Linked DNA regions of Ovis aries. The protein of the gene in region 4 purifies or fractionates together with the protein of the main gene of each other region. This does not show direct contact. Links are inferred from orthologs where the notes say so. Each region holds a gene or a part of one and is shown on either strand. Other genes may lie near its edges. The genes, in order: GDI2, ARL8B, VDAC2, RAB7A, VDAC1 and PLEKHM1.

Region 1 (4,268 bases), on a different chromosome or scaffold from region 4:
ACTGTGTTACAGCAGTACTCAGTAATTAACCCTCCCTTTGTGAAATCTTGTTATCAGGTGTTCACTACATTCCTTAGTCTGTTAAGGAAGCTGTGGTATCATTTGAAAGCTTTTTTCTAAAAATTATGGTTCTTTTAATTAATCTTTAATCCCCAGATCAATTCAACTTTTCAACAGTGCTGTCTTTAAACTGCTTCGGCTGCCTGGGGAAAGTGGTACTTCCCAACTATGTTTTACGGACTCTGGTTCTGAAAAGGCACTTCTATGATTCAGAACATTTACAAATACATTCCTCACTTACTATACCTCAAGAAAATAAAGTTATGGGTCTTTAAAGGGAAAGCCATCAGTTCCTTAAAATATTCAACTATATAGAACACTGCACTTCTTATAGACAGAATGAATATTTTGCTCTAGTTTACAGCAAACTATTTTAATCCTCCTTTAAAGTTACTATTAATATTGGTGCACTAATATGACTATTTTAGACATAATAATCCATAAAAAACAATGGCCACATTAGAAAACACAGAGAAATCCCAAAACTTCCTTACATTTTAAAAATAACAAGTTAATTGCACTTAAAGTAATTGACACACAAGAATCACATAACATTTGGTATCCATACGTGATAACATATGCCTGTTTTCAGGTTCTTAAATCTCAGGCACTAAATATTTCTAAGTCAAAAATTAAGTAAATGGTATGTTCACACCAAATACTCAAATTATAAATTGAGCGTTTTTAACGTTGGTGGTCTCAAGTAATCGAAGTTCTCCTATCAATAAAAATGAGGGTAAAAGATTTATCATTATTAAAATCATCCCATCATCACTACTACCAACAACTGTAATACAACAGTAATATGATTGCTCTGAATTGATATAATTTAAAGAATATCTCATAACACCACTCTAGGAAGGTTCACAGGAAACAGTTATCACAGCTATACAAACGACAGCAGAAATTGCTCTGATTTCTAAGTATGCACCTACCATTCACCAAAAAGGTCACAATTAATCCAAATGAAAATGTAAATAAGGTGCAACTTGGTTGTTATACAGTTAAGACTGCCCGCTTTGATACAAAGTGATCCTTCTGAGCTAGGCATGTAGAAACCAGCATGAGGGAAGAAAAAAGGAAAGGGGGGGGGGGGAACAAACCTGTGTAAGGAAGGATTTGCACTCATTTGTCCATGTTTAACTGACCTAATCAAGAGCAAATCTGAAAGACCAGCAATAACGGTAGAAACACAGTGGAACTAACTGGCTCTAACAAAAGGCTGGTAGCAACAGTGCCCATTCCAACGGGCAAACTAAACTACTAAGCTCAGCTCAGAATCCCAATTAAGCACTTCGGAAATGGAAAGAGAAAAAAAAACCCTGCAGTGGGTAGGCCTACTCATTTAGGCATCCAACAGCTCACCAAAGAAATTTAACCCAATATCTCACATTCCATCACTCTCATCTATTTTGTACAATTTCCCAGCCAGTCCCGTCTTTTTCTGGACTGGTCAAACATAGTAAAGCATTCAGAAATGCCTATTACCCAACAATCATCATAAATCACCACAAACAGAAAATAACATGCCAGCAAACTATCACTGTAAGTTTCCAACAATTTTTTCCTAAGAATATTAGCCAAATGCAAGTTTCACAGTTTTCTCTTGTCCAGAGAAATCTAAAATAGTTCTGGAATGCTACCTGAAAAAAATTTTTAAATCTTGAGAGATTACAATGCATTTCAACACATTTACATCAAATGACTCAGGATTTTGAGATCAGTTCATATGGAACACAAGATCAAAATCAGGGTTCATCTTCTAAAACGAAGCAGCCAGCCCCATGTCAGAATTCCAAATTTCCAAAAATCTTGATAAATGGAGACGGTCCTATCTTCAAATGGAATTATTTTGCAAGATGAGCTGTCTTCATTTTCTTTTAAAAACCACAGAAAAGTACAACTCCTGCCTGCGTTATCTGCGGAATATTACCTGAAGTCCTCTGAGCAGACAGCTAGGAAAATACATTTACCCCGGTGACAGGAACACCTGGCCTCTAGCAACCAACCAACTCATCATCAATTCCTTTTCTCAGGGGAAAAGGTTCAGCAGCGTCGAGGTGGGCAAGGACAGATCATACATAAGGCTGGCGAAGGCCAGGTGAGACCCATTTGGAGAAAAACTCATTTCCAATCCCATGGTCGTTCAACTGAGATTGGGAGGGTGGTTACACAGGAATGGACAATGCTTCTCACCTGGGGTGGGGGAGGAGGCTAAGAAAACCAGTTTTCTCAAAAAAAAAAAAAAAAAAAGTAAGTTCACTGGCCTGAATTACCAACCCAACAGCGATTACCTGTGACTGGTCACCGAAACTGACTAGCAGCGGGGCCTGGAAGCTGCGGAGGAAACGCCACTGGGCTAGGCTTCACCCTCCCCCACTCCTTTCCGTCTCCAGGCGCGAGAGGCCCTCGACCAGCAAGGGAGGCGCAGCGACGCCGCAACCCGGGCTTTCTCGGCCTTGCATTCCCGAGACCCTTGCTCGGCCGCCCCAACCCGTCCAGGCACCTGTCCGGGCCAGGCTTTTGCACACCGCGGTGTCCCTTCCCCGCAGGCCCCGCTGCAGATACGGCCCGCCCGGAGGGACCCCCCCCGGGAAGAGACCCCCGGCATCGCGGAGCGGGGGGCGGGGAAGATGGGGCTGAGCAGGGCGTGCGGCCGGCCCCCTCCCGGCCCCGGGCCGCCGCCCCTCCTCACCGTCAGGCCAGTGCCCAGCACGATCACGTCGTACTCTTCATTCATGGCGGGGCCGGGCGCGGACAGAGACCCAGAGAAGGCTCAGAACTCTAGGGGTCTGGGGCTGCGGCTGCCCCGAGAAGAAGGCTGACCAGGGAGCGAGCGCTCAGGCCGGACGGGGCCTGAGGGAAAAGGGAAGCGGAGGCAGAGACTACACGGAGCTGGCGAGCGGGGAGCCGACCGCCACCTCAGACGGGAAGAGAAGAACGGGGCGGGGAGGGTAGGGAAGGAGGCGAGGGAGAGAGAGGCGGGCTGCGACCGCGGCCTCCGCAGCCGGGGCGAGGCCGGGAGGAAGCCGTCGATCACGCCCTTCCCGCTCGCTCATTGGCTACGTCTCCGTCGCCCACGACCCGCTTCCTCTCCCACGTCTCGCGAGAAAAGGGCGGGCCGAGCCCCTGGTGGATTTCGGATCCGTTCCCAAAGCGCGGTCGCCTTGATTGGGGGCGGAGGGGGCAGTAGCGCGCGGGCCTTCGAGGGCGGGGGCGGGGTTGAGCTTGTGGCCGGGGGACCCCTGTCCGGTTCTTCACTCCCGCTCCCCATCGGGCGGCGGGGCGCACTCTGGGCCCCGCGCCCGCAGCTGCCCTTGGACTTTGGGCCCGCGGCGACCACGTGGCTGGGGCTGGCCTCCCCAGCCCCCAGGACCGCGGGCGGCCTCCCGCAGCCCGGCACACCAGGAGCTGACGCCATGCGGCCCGACTCCGGCTGCGGCTCGGCCCTCTGCGCGCCTAGCTGGTCCTCTGCAACTTGTCTTGCTTTTCTTTTTATCCTACCTCCATTTCCTGAAGGAAAAAGGACCTAATGAATTTTAAGGAGTTCAGAAATCACTTTTTTTTTTTTCTTAACTTCCCTCCCAATGTTATTCTTGCTTGATGCATTGCCCCATGTGCAGCCTTAGGAAATAAGAATTTAAAAAAAAAAAAAAAAAAACTCTACTTTTGAAAAGGGAACTTTAGCATAAAGGGGAAGGGCAGATTTGATCGGAAGCAGGTCTGCGCCTACTGAGAGCTATAATCTAAACCAGCTGTAAAGATAGCTGACCAGCACGTGAATGGATTTAGGCCACAGAGTGTAGGGAAAAAAAAAGATTCCCTGTTTTTTGCCTTTCATATCCGAGCCGGCCCAGCCCTGCAAACACACATTTCTTCTGGTTTCTATTTGGCATCTCCAGCCCTGGTGGCTTATGTTCTCAACCGAAGAGAGCAGATCCAGTGTTTTCAGCCTGAGTATGCAGACAAAGGGCTTCCCTGATGGCTCCCACGGTAAAGCGTCTGCCTGCAATGAGGGAGACTCGGGTTCGATTCCTGGGTCGGGAAGGTCCCCTGGAGAAGGGAAGAGCCTGACAGGCTGCAGTCCGTGGGGTCGCAAAGAGTCGGACACGACTGAGCGACTTCACTTTGACTTTCATGCAGACAAAAGAGTTGGTGTTTCCTTGAAGATTTATTCTCAAATAAGAGCTGTCTAAAGTGAATCTTGA
Region 2 (3,987 bases), about 38 Mb from region 4:
CTAACAGAACCCAGTCACGTTATGGTCTTTTCCTGGTGGCTCAGATGGTAAAGAATCAGTCCGCAGTGTGGGAGACCAGGGTTTGATCCCTGGGTTGGGAAGATCCCCTGGAGAAGGGAATGGCTACCACTCCAGTATTCTTGCCTGGAGAATTCCATGGAAAGAGGAACCTGGCAGGCTACAGCCCATGGGATCGCAGAGAGTCAGACACGACTGAGTGACTAAGACTGCATCTGCAACCCACATTGTATCATTCAGAAAGAAGAGTCTAGGTAATTCCCAGGCAGTCCAGTGGTTAGGATGCAGAGCTCTCACTGCCAAGGGTCAGGGTTCAATCCCTGGTCAGGGAACTAAGATCCTCCAAGCTGCACAGCTTGCCCAGAACGAAACAAAAATAGGAGTCTAACGTTAAAATAATAGTTCACTTTGAGTTCAACAGCTTTCCAGATGTTAACAGATGGGGGGAGAGGGAGGACATGCTGTGATTACTTGTCATGATCTATGAATCCACTACAGCAGTCCATATTTGAATACCTACACAAATGCAAAGGAATGACCCCAACTAATTCCCTTCTAAATATTTTTCAAAATACCATTTCTGCATTAAATGACTGTACCCACTACAAATAATACAACACTTACCATTTATCTAGCCCCTTCTATGGGCAGGCATGATGCTAATCACTTAACATCTGTCATTTCATGCACTCGCAGCAACTCTGTAAGAAACCTATTATTAACTCCTCTTAATAGATGGGAAAGCAAGGACTGAAAGAGGATACAAGGCTGCTAAGTGGCAGAGCCAGATTGCAAATCCAGGGCTGTTTGACTTCAAAGTTCATGTTCATTATGTCAAGCTAAACTGTCTACTAAACACACAAGCATGAAAATCGAGCTTATGGTTCCAGGAGTTCCTCAAGATTTACTAAAATCTTTTTAGGTTTCCCAACCATAACTACTTCTCTGTAACAAATACAACTGATTGTAGTAATAAACCTACAAAACACTATAATTAAGTCTTCTCAAAAAGAGAGGATTTAGGAAGAGACACCAATTCTTATCCCAAAACAGTATCAGAAAATTTACAATTAAATGATCTCAGCTTATCTTTTCCACATCATACAAGGAGTTCAAATATGAATACTCCGCCAAAGCCTGAAGTTTTTTCTTACTAATTTTAGTGGTATTAGATATCCATTCCACTCTTTTAGGCCTGTTGAAAAGTCATCTCAAGCCTCCGGCCCAATAACATTACAAGAGCCAAACAAGCAGGCAAGTTTTCCTTATGCTTATATGCAATATTCCTCAAAGGAAGTTTGGATGTCTGCTCATCTCTACTTCTCCTTCCTGTTGCTCTATCACTGCAAGGACTAACAGTCACAAGTTACACAAGTTGTGTTCTCCAACAAGACAGGCGTGTTTGAATCATTCCAGTAACCAAACCAGTTGGACAGCGAGTCGCCAATAAAATAGGATTTCACCCATCATCTAAACGGTGGAGAAACTGCTGCCATCTCTCTCAAATAGCTCAAAAGTTCATCCCTGACAAGCTCAAGACTGAGTCACAGCAACTCCTGGGCTCTAAATGAAGACTGACGAGAATCGTTCACTCTTATTCCCTCCCCTGCCAACCAAACGAGCAAAATTTAATTATCCTCCTTCCCTCAATCACCGATGAATAAACACCACACTCTATATAGGTTCCCAGGGCAATTTCTTTCCCTCCCAGAAACTCATTCCTTGGGCGTGGAATGAGCTACGTTTCTACCCAGTCCCTTCCTTTCTCTGTCTGTAAGAAAAACCATTACATTAGACCAACACCTCTTTTCCAACTTTATGCTGACTGCAAATCTTATCCCCTAGACGAGGGCTCTAGAAATAGAGACCCCACCCACCCAACTTCTTGGCTTAGTAAAAGCTGTGCACTTGTAAATCAACTATACTTCAAATAAACAAATTAATTTAAAAAATAAAAGCCGTGCACTATTATGGACTGGCAGGAAATGCCTGTCTTTAGCTTTACCGGCGATCGCAGCACCGTCTATTCGGCCCCTCGGGGAACGGGTGAGAAAACCGATTAACTGGATTACACGGGACAAGCTGCCCACAGAATTGAGGGATGAGCCCACACTGGCCCCTGCTTTCCTCACAACGGTGCTCTCCATCCCGAGTGGCCAGTTGAGACAATCTCAATTATTTTAGGCTTTCTCACGGGACACACGGACTCGCCAAATTCCACCCCTCGGGAAACTGACAAGCTAAAGTTAACCCCTGCGCGGCCAGCAAAGATCAAACCCGAAGGAAATCCCAGACCACCACCACCACCACCAAGAGCCTTAAAAATGTGACAAGGCCAATTACACCCTTTCCAAACCCCGGCTGCGACGAGGACACGGGGACACGGCGCTTGGAAGAAGACGACTAAATGGAAATAACCCTTCAACTACCGACCGCGCCGATACACCAGCCACCAACACGAGGGAAACTCCAGGTCCTGACGCCCGGGTAGGCGAAGAGCACGGCTGCCCCCTCCCTCGACACGCACACTCCCAAGAGCCCCGCCGCGCCGAGGGGACCCCCCCCCCAACCCCGCCACCACCAGCCTGGCCTTCGAGCAGAAGCCGGGCCGGACTCGCGGGCTGCGGCGCCCCGGGAGGGTAATCGGGAGGGCACTCACCGCGATGACATTGACGAAGGTGGTCTTGCCCGAGTACTGCAGCCCCACGAGCGTCAGCTCCATCTCCTCCTTCCAGAAGAGCGAGCGGAACCAGTCCAGCAGGCGGGAGATGAGCGCCAGCATGATGGCGGCCGGGAGGGAGGACGGACGGACGGGCGAGCGAGCGGGCAGCGGCGGCGGCGACGACCTCCACACGAGCGGGCCTCGGCCCGGACCCCCCCAACGGCTCCTCGGGGCCCCGGCGCGACACAGGCGGACACAGGCGGGCGACGGCGGCCGGAGCCAGGAAGCCGAGCGGGTCATATGACTCGCCCTACCCCCCACGCTCGTCCCCGCGCCGCCGCCGGCGCCCACGGCAAGAGCGGCAAGGCCTGTCCGGCCAGGCGCGCCCGCCGCCTGCAGCGCCACCTGGTGGAGCCTCCGTGCAGCACCGTGCACCGGCGTGCCGCCCTTGGGCTCCTTTCCTACTATAGTCCTTGGCTCATTCCTGTTGATCCATTCATCATTCATTTTCTCTACAATTGTTTACTGACTGTCAGCTCAGTGCAGAAAGACTTCAAAACTCTGGGGGTTTCATCATGAAAATCCCTGTCCTACGTAACAAAAGATGGAAGCCACACGGGCTTATCAGTAGGGGAGTGATTAAACTTTAGCAGATTCCCAAAACTGAATACTGTTTTTCAAAAGATGAGAAAGTTTTCTGTAAACTGATATGTAATGATGTCCAGGAAGTATTTTCAAGGTACATAAACTAAGGCACCAACTATGCATTATATGATATTTTCGGTATAATATGGGAAAACAAGAATACATATGTACATATATAAAACACATATTATGGTTGCAGAAAGAAATACTGGAAGACTAATAAAAACAGTTTTCTATTGGGATGAGGTAAACTGGACGGTCAAAGGCAGAAATGGGAATGAGACTTCACTGAATATCTTTTTATATCATTTTCACTTAAATCATCCAAGTGAGTCGCCCGTTGAAAAGTTTAATTTAATTAAAAGGTACGGTTTTCCGATTTTAGAAAACCCTCCCTCTGAGGAGCTTACCTTCCACAGAGGGAGAAGAACAGGGAGTGGCGCCTGTTCTAGTCAGACTAGACCTCTCGGAGGAGGCAGCCCTGGCTGTGATGACCTAGAGGCCATGAGAAGGAGGGCCAGGCACTCGTCCGGAGGAAGCGCGTTCCAGACAGAAAGAACAGCAGACTCTGAAGCGGAAAGGTGTTCAGAATGCTCTAGGAACAGAATTCAGCGCTGTCACCTCAGATTAATAAGACAGGGAGTGGGAGGAGAGATGGATGG
Region 3 (2,370 bases), on a different chromosome or scaffold from region 4:
GTATGGTGTGTATATACAACCTTCAGCACCATCCCTTCATTTCTCTTCTTCTTCACTTACTGACTTATCTTTCCTGGAGTTAATGATGATCCAATGTAATTTTATACAAATTTATAAACTGAAGATATGAAGTCATGTATCTTCTTATTTTACTGTAGTCTAAACATTTTATGGAGTTATTCTCGGGTCAGAGGACTCTGTGGCACATATTTATAAAAAGAGCAAAATAAATGCTCACTGGAAAAATAAAGTCCTAGCTAGATATCCTACCAGGAATATTTGACCCTAGCTGCCAAGTTTTTAACTCTGCAAATACTTGGAGTCACTAATAACGTATACTCATTTTATTCATAATTTGTAATGTTTCAGGATACCAAAAGTAATTCTAATGATGGTTGAATTTAACAAAAAATCTTAACCTTAAGACATCCACTGATCCAGCTCATTCAACGGCAATATTCAACATTAAAAGGAGCATAAAACAAACATGCACACAGCTGCACGGTTTTCATAAATGTCTATTTCATTATTGGTGGGGAGCGCATTTAACAGTTAAATACATTTAAATAATGTATAGGTGACTGCATGACTGCAGTATTGGTAACTAGATAGACAACCAATTCAACTAGAAACCAGCTAACAAGTAACTGTCTAAATATTTAAAATACAGCTCTTGTTTAGATCATCCTTTGTTTTGATCACCTTCAGGGGGTGCGGGGGGAAGCCTGCTGGTCACACTGGAAATATATTAAGGCCAAATCTTCTGATACCCATTTCCAGAGGTTTCTTTCAGCTGAATTAAGCCTCCAATTCCAGGGCAAGCCCAAGTTTGTGGCCTCCAGCATTAATGCTCTTCCCATCTACCAGGGCAGACAGTGTAAGCTTCACACCTATAAACAAAAGCAGACAACCATCATGTACCTGCAAGACCTCATGGGACCCAGCAGTCACCTCACAGCCTGTCACTTTTTCTCAGCTTGCCAGATGACCTATAGTGCCAGCCACCAGAGGGCACTTGGGAGTACCTGAGAGACCAGGCAATTCATTTGGCACGATCCTGAGCAAGGAAAGCATCAAGTCACAGAGCATAAAAATGTTAATGAAGCTCAAACAGGAAAAAAAAAACAAACTCAAAATAGCTCTAGAAAATACAATCATGTTCAGTGCACTATCCAGACTAAAAGACAATGTGGACCCCAGGAAAGGAAAAGCTACAAGCAAGACACATTTTGGGACAAGTAGGGACATCTGCATATCGACCATGTATTAGGTATTATTTTAAACTGTTCATTTCTTTAGCTGTGAAAACAGTACTGTAGTTATGATGCCTTTAAAGTGATGCAGTTAAAAATGTTTTACTCTCATATGTATGCTAGGGCTGATGTGTCTGTATGTTTGCAAAATATACATTTAATTTGTAAGAATATGTGGGTAAAAAAAAGAGAAAAGGATTATGTATACAGACAAGGAGGGAGAAAACAAACACGGTAAATGTTAGTAACTGGCCACTGTAGGGAAGATTGAGTGTTCAAGGCACCATTCTTTTCTTCAGGTTTCAGAATAGTCGAAGTATGGGGAAAAGGTTCCAAGTGCTTCTGAACCTTGCTATTCAAATGCTGGTTCAAGAGCCAGTGACACTGGCATCACCTAAGAGCTTGTCAGAAAGACAGAACGCCATACCCCAGATCTATGTACTCTAATAAGATTCCCAAAGTGATTCAGGCACCCTTGTATTAGAGAAGTACTGCTCTGGAAAACAAGCAAGGCTCAAATTATTACGTAAAGTAAATGAGACTCTAGAGATCAAACAACCAAAGCAATGAGTGAACAATGACTGGAGAAATAAAAATTACTACAAGACATTTCAGGCACAAGTGAAAAAAGTAAATAACCAGTCTTGTGCCTATGAAGGACAATGTTTGCATACTAAACCATTTAGGGAAATGTCATCATAGCTACAACTTCCAAATAGCCCAGCATTAAAAAAAATAAAAATAAAATTGTAGCAAAAGGTAAACATGTGTTCATTGTACTTTTGTCAATTCTTCTGTTTTGAAAGGTTTACAAAATAAGTTGAGAAATGAAAACTGATTTTGAAAATACTATCAGAACAACCCTTAAAACTTACCAGGCCTCAGAGTCTGAGTATAGCCCACTCCAATTAAACTAGAGTTGTTGACTTTTGCCTAAGATAAAATGCAAAAACACATGTAAGACAAATCTTTGAATGGAGAGACAAGGCCCATTTCTCTATCATGCAATCATGACATGCTCACTTTTCCATGTGAGGTAGTAAAATTTAATATTGTATTAAGTTAAGCAAAAACCTTTTCATACTGTTCAAGGCAAGAATACTGAAGCGGTTTGCCA
Region 4 (3,500 bases):
GGTGTGAGCCTGTGATGGAGCGCAGGGCACCAGCCTTCCCACGTGGTGGCCTTCACAGGAGGGGGTGGGTAAAAAGACCACAAGACGGTTAAAAAAATCAGAACTAATTAGACACAGATTAACTGTAAACAGTTCTCTCTCCAGTGGATGAAAGGAAGAAGCTTCCAGCGCAGACTCCACCCAGGCGGGTGTGCGCCTCCGGCCTTGCTGCTGCCGCGGAGCCCGCGGGGCGGGCGGTGGGTCTGTGGGGCGTGTGCGGGGGTCGGCGGTGTGCTGGGCTCTCCGGGCAGCTGGGCGAGAGATGACTGTCTGTGGGAGGAGGGGCTCGTGGAGGAAGGCCTGCACCTGTGTTCTCGGTCGCGGAGGGCTGTGTGCTCTGCTCTCTGCCTCTTCAGCAGCTGCAGCTCTCGGCCGAGGCCTTGGGGCGGTCGTTCTTGTCCAGTTTGATGGGCTCGGGGAACTCGTTGTACAGCTCCACTTCCGTTTCCTGGGCAGGGAGAGAGGCGGTGACCGCGGGCCCGGGGTGGCTGCAAGTCCTGCGGTGTAGGGGGGCGGGCCCCACAGCGGAGGGGCCAGGCGGGCACCGAGGGACGCTGCGGGGCAGGGGCAAGAGGGACAGGCTGGCGCCCTCCACCTGCACGTGCCCGCTCTGGGAGCTTCTGCCAGTGCCTGACAAGGACAGGGTCTGGGGCCCCAGCCTCACAGACCCCGCGAGCTCGCCCTGCGCGCCCCTCTCTGGACCCAGGTCTGTTGTCTCTTCCAGGCCTTCAGGAGAGCTTGCCCCCAAGGCTGCACATGCCAGGCCCGCCCAGGACAACTCCCTCAGTGTGGGGCCCACAGGACAGGGCCTGGGGTCACTTCACGGGGACTTGGGCTGAATTAGCGTTTCCAGCGAGGGGCAGCTCCCTGCTTCCTAGGGAAGAGAATTCACCTGTGCCTTAGACGCGGAGCACCCGCGGGTCGAGGCCCTCTGGGGAAACCACTCCGGTCACAAGTGCTGTGCAAGCGGCCACGCCCAGGACTGCCTGTAGTTTAAGGCGGTCTCGCTCCCTGAGGGCTGAGCGTGTGCCCCTGCAGCCTGGTCTGCTCACAGGCCCAAGCCATCAGGCCCTTCCCGGCCCCGGAGGCGAGCCGGCTCCAGCAGCAGCGGCCTGTCCCGCCTATTGCTCCAAGCCCTGACCAGCGCTCATCTGCGTTCTGTCTTAATGGAGGCCTCAGCGAGATCGGACCTGTGGCCCCGAAACCGACAGGAAATAAGTGTGTCCTTGAGCCACGCGGCCTGTGGGCACTGTCCAGGGCCCGGTGCTGGCTGACACAGTTAGAACCTCAGGAAGGTTTATTTTTTGTGGGGGTAGGTGGTGGGGAGAGGACGGAGGAGGAAAAAGTTGCACCTGGAGTGAAAGTCTTAGTTCAAATGGATAATGAACCAAACAGAGCCAAGAGAAAAGCCTCGACTAGCGAGGGGAGAGGCCGTGAGGTCAGGACGGCCGTGCAGGGAGCACGTGGGCTGCAGGCGGGGCCCGGCGCAAGGAGAGCGCGACACGGGGGAGCGGGCTCCACAGACGGAATACACACCCACCGGCAGGTTCTTCACTGTGGCCAGAGAGGCTGAGAAGAAGGCCCACCACACACAGCTCAGCCCCACCTCTGCGCACGGCCGAGGCCCGGGCAAGGGCTGCAGGGGCCCCTCTGCAGAGCATGGGCGCTGCGCCAGCGACGCCACCGCGGTGCCGGGACTGAGGGTCACCACTGTCCCCAGGGACAGCCAGGGGCCCCCTTACCAGTCGGACAGTCTTCCTCCTGCGACTCGAGCTCTAGGGGCAGGAGTGTTTAGGGAGGAAAGCACTGCCCTGCTGCTGTGGGGTCAGAGGAGCCCTCACCCGGCACCGGCCAACAGGATGCCGCTGGTATGTGGTGGGGAGGGGGACCATCTGAATAAACACCACAAAGAAAACGCAGGAGAACCTTACCTAAGGAAGATGACTCCTAGAACCTTTTGGGTTAACCTTTATGAGGATTGTTTAGGATAATTCCCAAAGTTGGTGCACCTCACTGAATCTTCACAAACGCCCTGAAAGCGGGCAATCTCATTGTACAGCTCAGACAGGATTTAAAAACCAGACTAGATCCCAAGACGGGCAGCAGAGCTGTGCCTCAAACTCAAGTGTATCTTGAAACAGGAGGAGCACGCCGAGCAGGGCGGCCCCACACGAGGTGGCCTCGATGTGTGCCCCCATGGAGCTGACTTACAGACGGCGGGACGGGGCCGCTCTCAAAGGCCCGCCACCACCTCTGGCTGCACAGGAAGCCCGTGGGGAGAGAAGGTGCGGGCCAAGGCGGCCAGGCCAGGGCTCCGTCCCCGGACACCCACCTGCTTGAGCGCGTTCCGGGCGATCGTCTGGAAGGCCTGCTCCACGTTGATGGCCTCCTTGGCGCTGGTCTCAAAGTAGGGGATGTTGTTTTTGCTGTAGCACCAGGCCTGAGCCCGCTTGGTGGCCACCTGAAGGGGAGGCAGGGTGCAGGTGCCAGGAAGAGCAGGCATCCCAGCGGAAGAACCCCCAGGACCCCCGCCGGCCACCGCCCACCAGCCCCTCGCCAGCTAAGCTCAGTACAGTGGGGCTTTCCCCTCTCAGCCTCCGACCCCGAGCTGCACCTGGAGGCAGCTTGTGAAGGGCGGCGGCAGCCAGCTCGGGAGGAAGTGCCTCCCCTCCGGCCCAGGACAGGTCTCCAGCCCCTCCTGTGACCGCTCAGCACACCTGCCTGGACCCCTGGCCTGATCACACACCCAGGCCCCAGAGCCCCCAACCCAGCCACATCCTGTTTCCTGACTCCCCACCCGAGCCTGTTTTCAGGAACAAGAGAAGAACCAATTCACTTAGGAAAGAGCTGACTGGTCAAAAATAAACTCAGCTATGAGTGAGTGAATGAAGTCTGGTCAGTTGTGTCTGACTCTGCAATCCCATAGGCTGTAGCCTACCAGGCTCCTCCGTCCATGGGATTTTCCAGGCAAGAGTACTGGAGTGGGCTGCCATTTCCTTCTCCAGAGGACCTTCCCGACCCAGGGATTGAACCCGGGTCTCCCGCATTGTAAGCAGACGCTTTACCGTCTGAGCCACCAGGAAAACTCGGCTATGCTTGACGACATCTCTGTCTACACCGACATCTCTGTCTACACTCCCCAGAGATGCTACTGGAAAGGAAGCCAGAGCAGTTTTACTCAAAAGCCCAAAGCACCTCCCGCCCCGCGGGATCTGGGGGGGCCCCGCTGCGGGAGGACGACAGCTGATGGCAACCGAACCCTCCCCCAGGGTCAGAAGCAGAGGCGCCCACAAGCCCGAGTCACGGCTGTGCGGGTGGTGTGGGGGTCTCAGAGGGCCTCCTGGGCCCCAGTCCCCAGGGGCAGCCGGCCTGAAGATGGCGCCCCTGTGCACCCCCAGAGCCACGAGGTGCTCAGCACAGACCCTCCGTGTGCACAGGGTACCTCAGAACAGGCGGCCCAG
Region 5 (3,500 bases), on a different chromosome or scaffold from region 4:
GAACTCCATCAGCCCAAGGGATCAGGTGGGATCTCAGCGATGCATGATCCCACAGGTACCCACCGAGAAGCAGGCGTCAGGGTCAATCTGGTACTTGGCTGCTATTCCGAAGCGAGTGTTGCTGTTTCCTGCGGTCCAGGCCAGATTAACAGCAGTCTCCAACTTCTTGTTCACCTTCTGATAAATGGAGCCACCAAACTCTGTTCCATCATTTCTGCAAATAAGCACAGCACAGATACCAAGCAGCTTAGCAAGGGGGGCTGAGCTGGGCAAAGCCAACCAAGTCTTAACAGAGGATGGGAATGTTGTAAATGGACTGAACTGATCACAAAACAGGCACCAAATTACAAGCAGCCTGACAGGAATGGCACAGACACCAGGGCTGGGAGGGTTCACAGAAGGTAAAAGCTATCTCAGGCATCACTGGGAACATGCAAGGCAACTCAGTCAACTACTCAGGCTGCATGGGACTTGAAGTTTGCTTCCAAAATATTCTTTAAAATAAAAATGGAGACTAGGGCAATGGGATTGTGAATTCTGAGTGCTTTCTTCCTTCAGCTGCTAAAGTTATTATATTTATGAAATGCTGTATTATAAACATAGACATCAAGAACAAAGCCAGAAATGGTAAGAAAGTCCAGGCCATTCATACTCCTCAGAAGGCAGCCTATAGCCAGTGCTTAGCATCAGCTGCTGCACCCACTGCTGAGGGTGCACGGCCAGTAGGAGGAGCAGCAATTACAAAAGAACTTAACCTATAATTGAGGCTCGCTGGCCCATGCATACTGTTAAGCCATGCTGCAACACCTACAGTCTCGGTGAGCCCTGAAAAGGAGCAACCTGCCATATTATAAAATGTTTCTGTCTTTCAAAAATGGAATGAAACCCAGCAGACCAAACTGTTTCCTCTCTTCGCAGCCTCTGGGAATACCCTCTTCCCCTCCCTGACATTTTTAATATAAAAAAACAATGTCAAAGTTCTGCTCCATCATTTTGAGTGTCTCCAGTGGAAATGACACTGGAAACTGTTAAGGCAGAGCCTATATACTTTGGAATCCAGCAAAGAGCCTAGAACTCACTAACCCAAGAAAAAAATTGTTGCTGTTTCATTACAAACTCTGCTCTTCACTAATACACTCTCCTAAAGTAGATGCTCACAGAACACATTCTAAGTTCTTAAGTTCTCCCCTGAAATTTAGCCAGTCAGACACTGTGATTCCAAAAAGTATAGGAAGAGCCCAGACACCACCTGATCCATAGGGAATCTAACTTCTTCAGAAAGTCAGTATGCTATAAAACAGCAGCTTGTCAAACACAATAGATTCTGGATTGACTGGTATAACTCAAAGAGGCAAATTTTCTTGGGCTTAAATGTGTTTAAATGTTAGATTTCTCAATGCGTTCTAAAACCAGCAACACTTCCTTCCTGTACTGCACTCTTAAAACCATAGACAGAGGGAACTCGCTGTACAGAATTCATCTGTATGAAGCACACAGAATATCTGTTACACATCTGGGCCTCTGCAAGACCACGGCAACCCAAACTAGCTGTGTCAGCTGTTTCCATGCCAGTTCCAAAAATGAACCATGTCCACTTACTGAAAGCCTTGAGGCTCAGATAAGAAAAATAACTAACAGTCATTGCTCTTTCTGCTGCTGCTGCTGCTAAGTCACTTCAGTCGTGTCCGACTCTGTGCGACCCCAGAGACGGCAGCCCACCAGGCTCCCCTATCCCTGGGATTCTCCAGGCAAGAATACTGGATGGGGTTGCCATCTCCTTCTCCAATGCATAAAAGTGAAAAGTGAACGTGAAGTCGCTCAGTCGTGTCCGACTCTTAGCGGCCCCATGGACTGCAGCCTACCAGGCTCCTCCATCCATGGGATTTTCCAGGCAAGAGTACTGGAATGCCATTGCCTTCTTGTTCTTCCTAGAACTGTACAATTCCCAATTCCAAACCAAGGAAGCACTTTCTGAATCAGCCAAAATTCTCAATTAAAAAATAGTTGTATGCTTGTGATATTATTCCTATGACTTTTCTGCATGTTATCTTTTTAAAATTTACTTTTTTTTAACCTTTTTTGAGTATACACTTCTGTGAGTTTTTATAGACAAACCTGTATGGCCAGAATATAGAACAGTCCCACAATCAAACTCCCCTGTGCACCCCTTTGTATAACACCTTCCCTGTTCCCCTCTCTCAACCACTGGGCTGTCCATCTCTATAGTTTTCCTTTGATGTTTTAGTTTTAAAAGACTCACATTTTATTAATTTTTATGCTAATATACATCTTTGTTAATTTATTATAAAAAATACTCATTTTTTATTAATAGAAATGTTACTAGTTTAGACACACATACCATTTACTTGTCTGTAAATTTTAAGTCACTTCTTTAGTGACCTCTAGTGGAAAGAAAGAAATCTGGTAAAGTTGTTCCCAATTTATACCACTCATTAGTTTCTTGTATCTGCAGAGATATCACGGATGAAATTTTTGTTTCCCTTCAATCTAAATCAGTACTCTACTTCAACCCTCAAGTTTGATTACAAAGGGTCCTCTCTAACCTACCCTGTAATTTTCTCTTCCCTTCACAATACTGTCCAGTTAATAAACTTTTAAATGGACTGCCATGCAGAGAAGACAGTATTTAACTGAGACAATCATCTCCTAATTTGTCTGCCATGCCAACATTCCATTCAGTACAGCAAGCTGGTTCTCAGGCAGTATACAGAGAAAGAGAGAGGGCTACAACTCCCCACCCCCACCCTATTAACTACAATGAAAGGACCGCCAATGTCCGTAAGGCTGCAGGGAAGGGATGCTCCTGCGGACTGACATCATGCTCTTGCCACAACTGATCAGTCTTTCTATGTGCACCAGGGACAACATGTTACTGTCCACAGAATAGGAAGAACCTACATCACCTCAGGAAATGGGTGAGAAAAAAGAAAAACACTAGCAGGCCATTTGGCTCTTCTGATTCCAACAAACTCATTTCACAGTGATTAAAAATTGAGCTTAGAAAAAAATCATGAACACTTACACGTTAGTGTGAAGCTGGAACTCATCGGTCTTGTAGCCAACTGCAAAGTTGCTCTGAGTCACTCGAGATTTTGCAGTCTCAAAATTCATCTGGTAGCCAGCCAGCCAGCCTTCATAACCCAGCACCAGAGCACCCCGGATGGAAGGACCGGCTATGTCAAAATCCACATCGCAGCCCAGGTTGATATGTTCCCGCTTGTACCCTGTCTTGATTTTAGCATTTTTTTTCCTGGAGGAAAAGAAATCATATTAAAATCAGAAGTTAACTCATTTCATGACAACCACTCCAGAAATACACATTTTAAAACACTAATCCCTATTTGAATAGGGGAGTAGGAAGGCAAAGTCAGGGCCCCAGATCTCCTTAAGCAGCTGTTGCAACCTCTCTTCAACCAAAATCCAAAATAATGCAGAAATGCCACCTTAATGAAGTGAGAACACAGGCTTGTAAAAGAAAC
Region 6 (3,500 bases), on a different chromosome or scaffold from region 4:
TATGGGGGCGCCTGCGGGGAGCAGGAAGGAGTGCAGAGCCTAGAGCAGGAACCCCAGTGCGGGCAGGCTGGAGGTGGGGGACAGGGAGTCAGCACCTGCACAGAAGCAGCCCTGGGAGTCGAGGCCTTTCTCTGTGGGGATGGCCACCAGGTACTGCAGCAGGAAGCCGTTCTCCCGCGTGGCGAACTTCAGCACCTCCTGACAGCTTTCATCCAGACTGCCGCCCAGGGTCACTGCCTCCTCGGCCGTCTCCAGGTAGGACGCCAGGACCTTGCGTAGCACGTCCCTCCACAGGGCAGCCTCCTCGGCATTCCCGGCTTGCAGCTTCAGGATGGCCTTGGCCGTAATGATTTTGAAGAAGGCTGGGCCCCCGAGACTCGTGTCCGGCAGGATATCTCGGATGGTCTCGACTCCATGGCTGTCACTTAACATCTTCTCGTTGTTCCTCACGCGGAAGCACTTGAGGGACTCCAAGGACAGGGAAAAGATGTAGGGCATCCATGTGCGGTCCGTGTACAGATAGAGAAGGGACTCTTTGATGGCGTCAGGCTCAGGCACCTGGGAGAAGGACCAGTTGAACTGCAGCCCCTGGGGGGTTTCAGCCTCTGTGTGCAGGTCCGAGGGGGCGGCACAGCCACCCTGGGAGGCCTCTGGAGGGTCTTCGGGCTGCTCCGGGTACTGGATGGTCACCCACTCCTCCTCCTGCAGGGGCCGGCACTTCTGCAGCGCCTCGCGCACCCGGTCCAGCCAGTCCTCGGCTTCATCCCGGGACGAGGCGCGCAGGGTCAGCTTCTTGCCGGAGAAGAGCAGCTCGAAGCGGCCGTCACTGTGGGCCGGCCCCACAGACTCGCAGCGCAGCAGTGAGCAGGTGTCCACGCAGGTGCGCTCCTTGCCACTCAGGTAGAGGCGCAACTCCAGCGGGGAGAGCTCGCAGAAGAGTTCCTTCCAGATGCCCATGGCCCCCCGCCGCTCCACCGTGCCCAGCTTCAGGAGCCCCCGGAATGGGTTGGACAGCCCTGCAGGCAGAAAGAGGCACTTTAGATGATAGGCCTGGCCCTTCGTCACCCTGGATAATCTCCGGGGCCTGAGTCCTGTCCTGGGTGTGGACTCCGTGACCACCTGGAGAACACAGGCCACCGCCGGCTGGATGGGAACGTATTTTGAGAGCCTCCCTCCCACCCTTGCCCCAGCTGATAACTGTGCTCTTGAATTTCACTGAGAAAATAAAAGCACGTCAACAATCACCTCCATGAGCGCTTCACTACACCCTCCCCTTCCAGCATCTGCAGCCACACTCTGAGCCCCGTCGCTGGGGATGAACTGACTGTGCTTCTGTCTGAGGCCACCCTCCCATCTGTGCAATTGCGCAGGGGTCCCCCCCTCCACCACCCCGCCTGATCAAGGACAAGGACGTCTCTCCAGCAATCTTTTCTGCCCCTCCTGCGTCACTGTCTTCTCCCTCTCTCTTGGATCATTCCCACCAGCCCACAAACACGCTGTTATTTCTCCCAGCATTAAAAATATCTCTCGACTCTACTCACATCTCTAATTACCACCCTGGGTCTCTGTCCCCTTTACAGAAACCCCCCTGAGGAGGTGTGGGAATGTCTCTGGGACCCACTCCTTCTGTTCTTTCTTGAACCTCCTCCGAGCAGCCTTCTGTCCCGAGTCCACAGAACCTGCCCTTGGGAAGGCTACCAGGCCCTCCTGTTGCCAAGTCCAAAGCCTAGTCGTTGGTCCCCATCTGGCCTGGCCCATCAGCATCACTGTACACAGCAGAGCCCCCCTTTCCTGGGGTCTTCTCTGCTGTCACTGGCCCCCCTCTCCTGTCTCCCTGATGCTCTCTCCTCTCACTGGCCTCTTCATGGAGGCCCTGGGCTCGGCCCTGGTTCTCTTCTCTACTAATACCCACTTTTCCTAGCTGATCTTCCCTGGTCTTGGAGCTTTATGCCAACAACTTCTCAGTTTTTATCTCCAGCCTGGACCTCACCCTTGAGCTTTAGATTCCGATCTCCATCTGCTCCGTGTATGTCTAATAGGCTTCTCAAAGTTGACACGTCCAAAACTGTGTTCCTGATTCTCCCACTCCAAACCCACTTTCCTCCTGATGTTCTTCATCTAGTAAAATGGCAAACTTCATCCTCCCAGATGCTTGGGCTAAAAACTTTGGAGCTATCCTTGATTTTTTTTTTTCCCTTTCACACCCCACATCTAATCTATCAGCAAATCCTCTTGGTATATCTAGAGCCTTCCTCCACTTCTCACCTCCTCCAACACTACCACAGGGGATTGGTTCACCATCATTCCTGGCCAGGCTTATGGCTGTGGCCTCCTGACTGGTCTATGTCCCCCTGAAGCGCCTCAAGAAATGAGCCAGGATGATTGCCCCGGAGAGTCCCCCAAATCAGATCGCGTCTCTCTCAGAGCAAAAGCCAACGTCCTTCCTGTGGCCCATGAGGCCCCGCATCACTCTGACCTCACCTCTAGCCACCCCCTTCCCATCTCCTCTGTTCCAGCTACTCTGGTCTCTGCTGCTTACTGGACACATCAAGCATGTTTCTGTTGCAGGGCCTTCGCACACGTTCTCCCTGCTTAAAATACGATCGCCTCATGCCTCTCTCCCCACCTTTCAAGCCACCTCACATGTCACCTAATTTGTGAGGGCTTCCTTGGCCAGCCTTTACTCATTTATTTACTTTCTGGCCGTGCCGTGCAGCTTGCAGGATCTTCATTCCCCACACAGGGACTGAACGTGGGCCCCAGCAGTGAAAGTGTGGACTCCTAACCATTGGACCATGAGGGGAGTCCCTGGCTGTCCTTAATGGTACCCTGCCCACCTCCCGTTTACTATTCCCCACAGGAATGATCACCCGCCCCGACTATATGTTGACTTGTTCATCTGCTTATTTCCTGTCTCTCACGCTAGAATACAACTCCCATGAAGATAAGGACCTGGCTTGGTTTCCTGTTGTGTCCCCAGCACCTAGAATAGTACCTGGCACATCGCAGGTGCCCAATAAATCTGTTGAGTAGGGAGTGTGTGTACTACACACAGCCCAAGGCTCCCTGATCTTCCTCGGGGGGGGGGGGGGGGAAGGGGCTAGCCTTCTTCCTGAAAAAAGGGGGTCCAAAGGACACACAATTCTCTCTCCCAGCTTGGACCAGCCTTAGAGATTTCAAACCACTGTGTAGGGCCTTCCTATCCTCCCGGGTACCTGATGACGCAGGCATAAAGCACACCTTCTCTGGTATGGTTGTAACCATTACATGGGCTGAAAGAAAAACCTAAGAGGACGTGGCATGGAAACCAGGGCTGTGCCAGACATAAAAATTAGGTTGTGGTTATTTAATGCTTTATGGAATTTCGTAGGGTGTGGAGGTCAAGCTGGCCTCCTTGTGAACTGCACACAGAGAACACTGAACAAACTGCACATCTGATAAACCCCACCAGAGCTGCTAAATAAACCATCTGAGAGAAGGGCCTTAGGGAGGAGCAGTTG

Evidence for each region.
Region 1: the proteins of RAB7A (region 4) and GDI2 purify together in Homo sapiens (affinity purification with mass spectrometry; 3 studies listed by BioGRID and IntAct, with this or other methods). This does not show direct contact. The link is inferred for Ovis aries from reciprocal best matches to the Homo sapiens genes RAB7A and GDI2.
Region 2: the proteins of RAB7A (region 4) and ARL8B purify together in Homo sapiens (affinity purification with mass spectrometry; 4 studies listed by BioGRID and IntAct, with this or other methods). This does not show direct contact. The link is inferred for Ovis aries from reciprocal best matches to the Homo sapiens genes RAB7A and ARL8B.
Region 3: the proteins of RAB7A (region 4) and VDAC2 purify together in Homo sapiens (affinity purification with mass spectrometry; 3 studies listed by BioGRID and IntAct, with this or other methods). This does not show direct contact. The link is inferred for Ovis aries from reciprocal best matches to the Homo sapiens genes RAB7A and VDAC2.
Region 5: the proteins of RAB7A (region 4) and VDAC1 purify together in Homo sapiens (affinity purification with mass spectrometry; 3 studies listed by BioGRID and IntAct, with this or other methods). This does not show direct contact. The link is inferred for Ovis aries from reciprocal best matches to the Homo sapiens genes RAB7A and VDAC1.
Region 6: the proteins of RAB7A (region 4) and PLEKHM1 purify together in Homo sapiens (affinity purification with western blotting; 5 studies listed by BioGRID and IntAct, with this or other methods). This does not show direct contact. The link is inferred for Ovis aries from reciprocal best matches to the Homo sapiens genes RAB7A and PLEKHM1.

Annotation. Positions count from the first base shown.
Region 1 is NC_056066.1:42,477,632-42,481,899, reverse strand, and holds the start of GDI2 (rab GDP dissociation inhibitor beta), read right to left. Parts: upstream 2,801-4,268; coding exon 2,756-2,800; intron 1-2,755. UniProt on the Homo sapiens protein: GDP-dissociation inhibitor preventing the GDP to GTP exchange of most Rab proteins. By keeping these small GTPases in their inactive GDP-bound form regulates intracellular membrane trafficking.
Region 2 is NC_056072.1:21,259,328-21,263,314, forward strand, and holds the start of ARL8B (ADP-ribosylation factor-like protein 8B), read right to left. Parts: upstream 2,801-3,987; coding exon 2,678-2,800; intron 1-2,677. UniProt on the Homo sapiens protein: Small GTPase which cycles between active GTP-bound and inactive GDP-bound states.
Region 3 is NC_056078.1:30,199,748-30,202,117, reverse strand, and holds the end of VDAC2 (voltage-dependent anion-selective channel protein 2), read right to left. Parts: intron 2,187-2,370; coding exon 2,129-2,186; intron 891-2,128; coding exon 799-890; 3' UTR 501-798; downstream 1-500. UniProt on the Homo sapiens protein: Non-selective voltage-gated ion channel that mediates the transport of anions and cations through the mitochondrion outer membrane and plasma membrane.
Region 4 is NC_056072.1:59,079,766-59,083,265, forward strand, and holds the end of RAB7A (ras-related protein Rab-7a), read right to left. Parts: intron 2,501-3,500; coding exon 2,372-2,500; intron 488-2,371; coding exon 392-487; downstream 1-391.
Region 5 is NC_056058.1:43,302,189-43,305,688, forward strand, and holds part of VDAC1 (voltage-dependent anion-selective channel protein 1), read right to left. Parts: intron 3,272-3,500; coding exon 3,044-3,271; intron 529-3,043; exon of another isoform or gene 215-528; coding exon 64-214; exon of another isoform or gene 1-63. UniProt on the Homo sapiens protein: Non-selective voltage-gated ion channel that mediates the transport of anions and cations through the mitochondrion outer membrane and plasma membrane.
Region 6 is NC_056064.1:44,832,698-44,836,197, forward strand, and holds part of PLEKHM1 (pleckstrin homology domain-containing family M member 1), read right to left. Parts: intron 1,017-3,500; coding exon 96-1,016; intron 1-95. UniProt on the Homo sapiens protein: Acts as a multivalent adapter protein that regulates Rab7-dependent and HOPS complex-dependent fusion events in the endolysosomal system and couples autophagic and the endocytic trafficking pathways.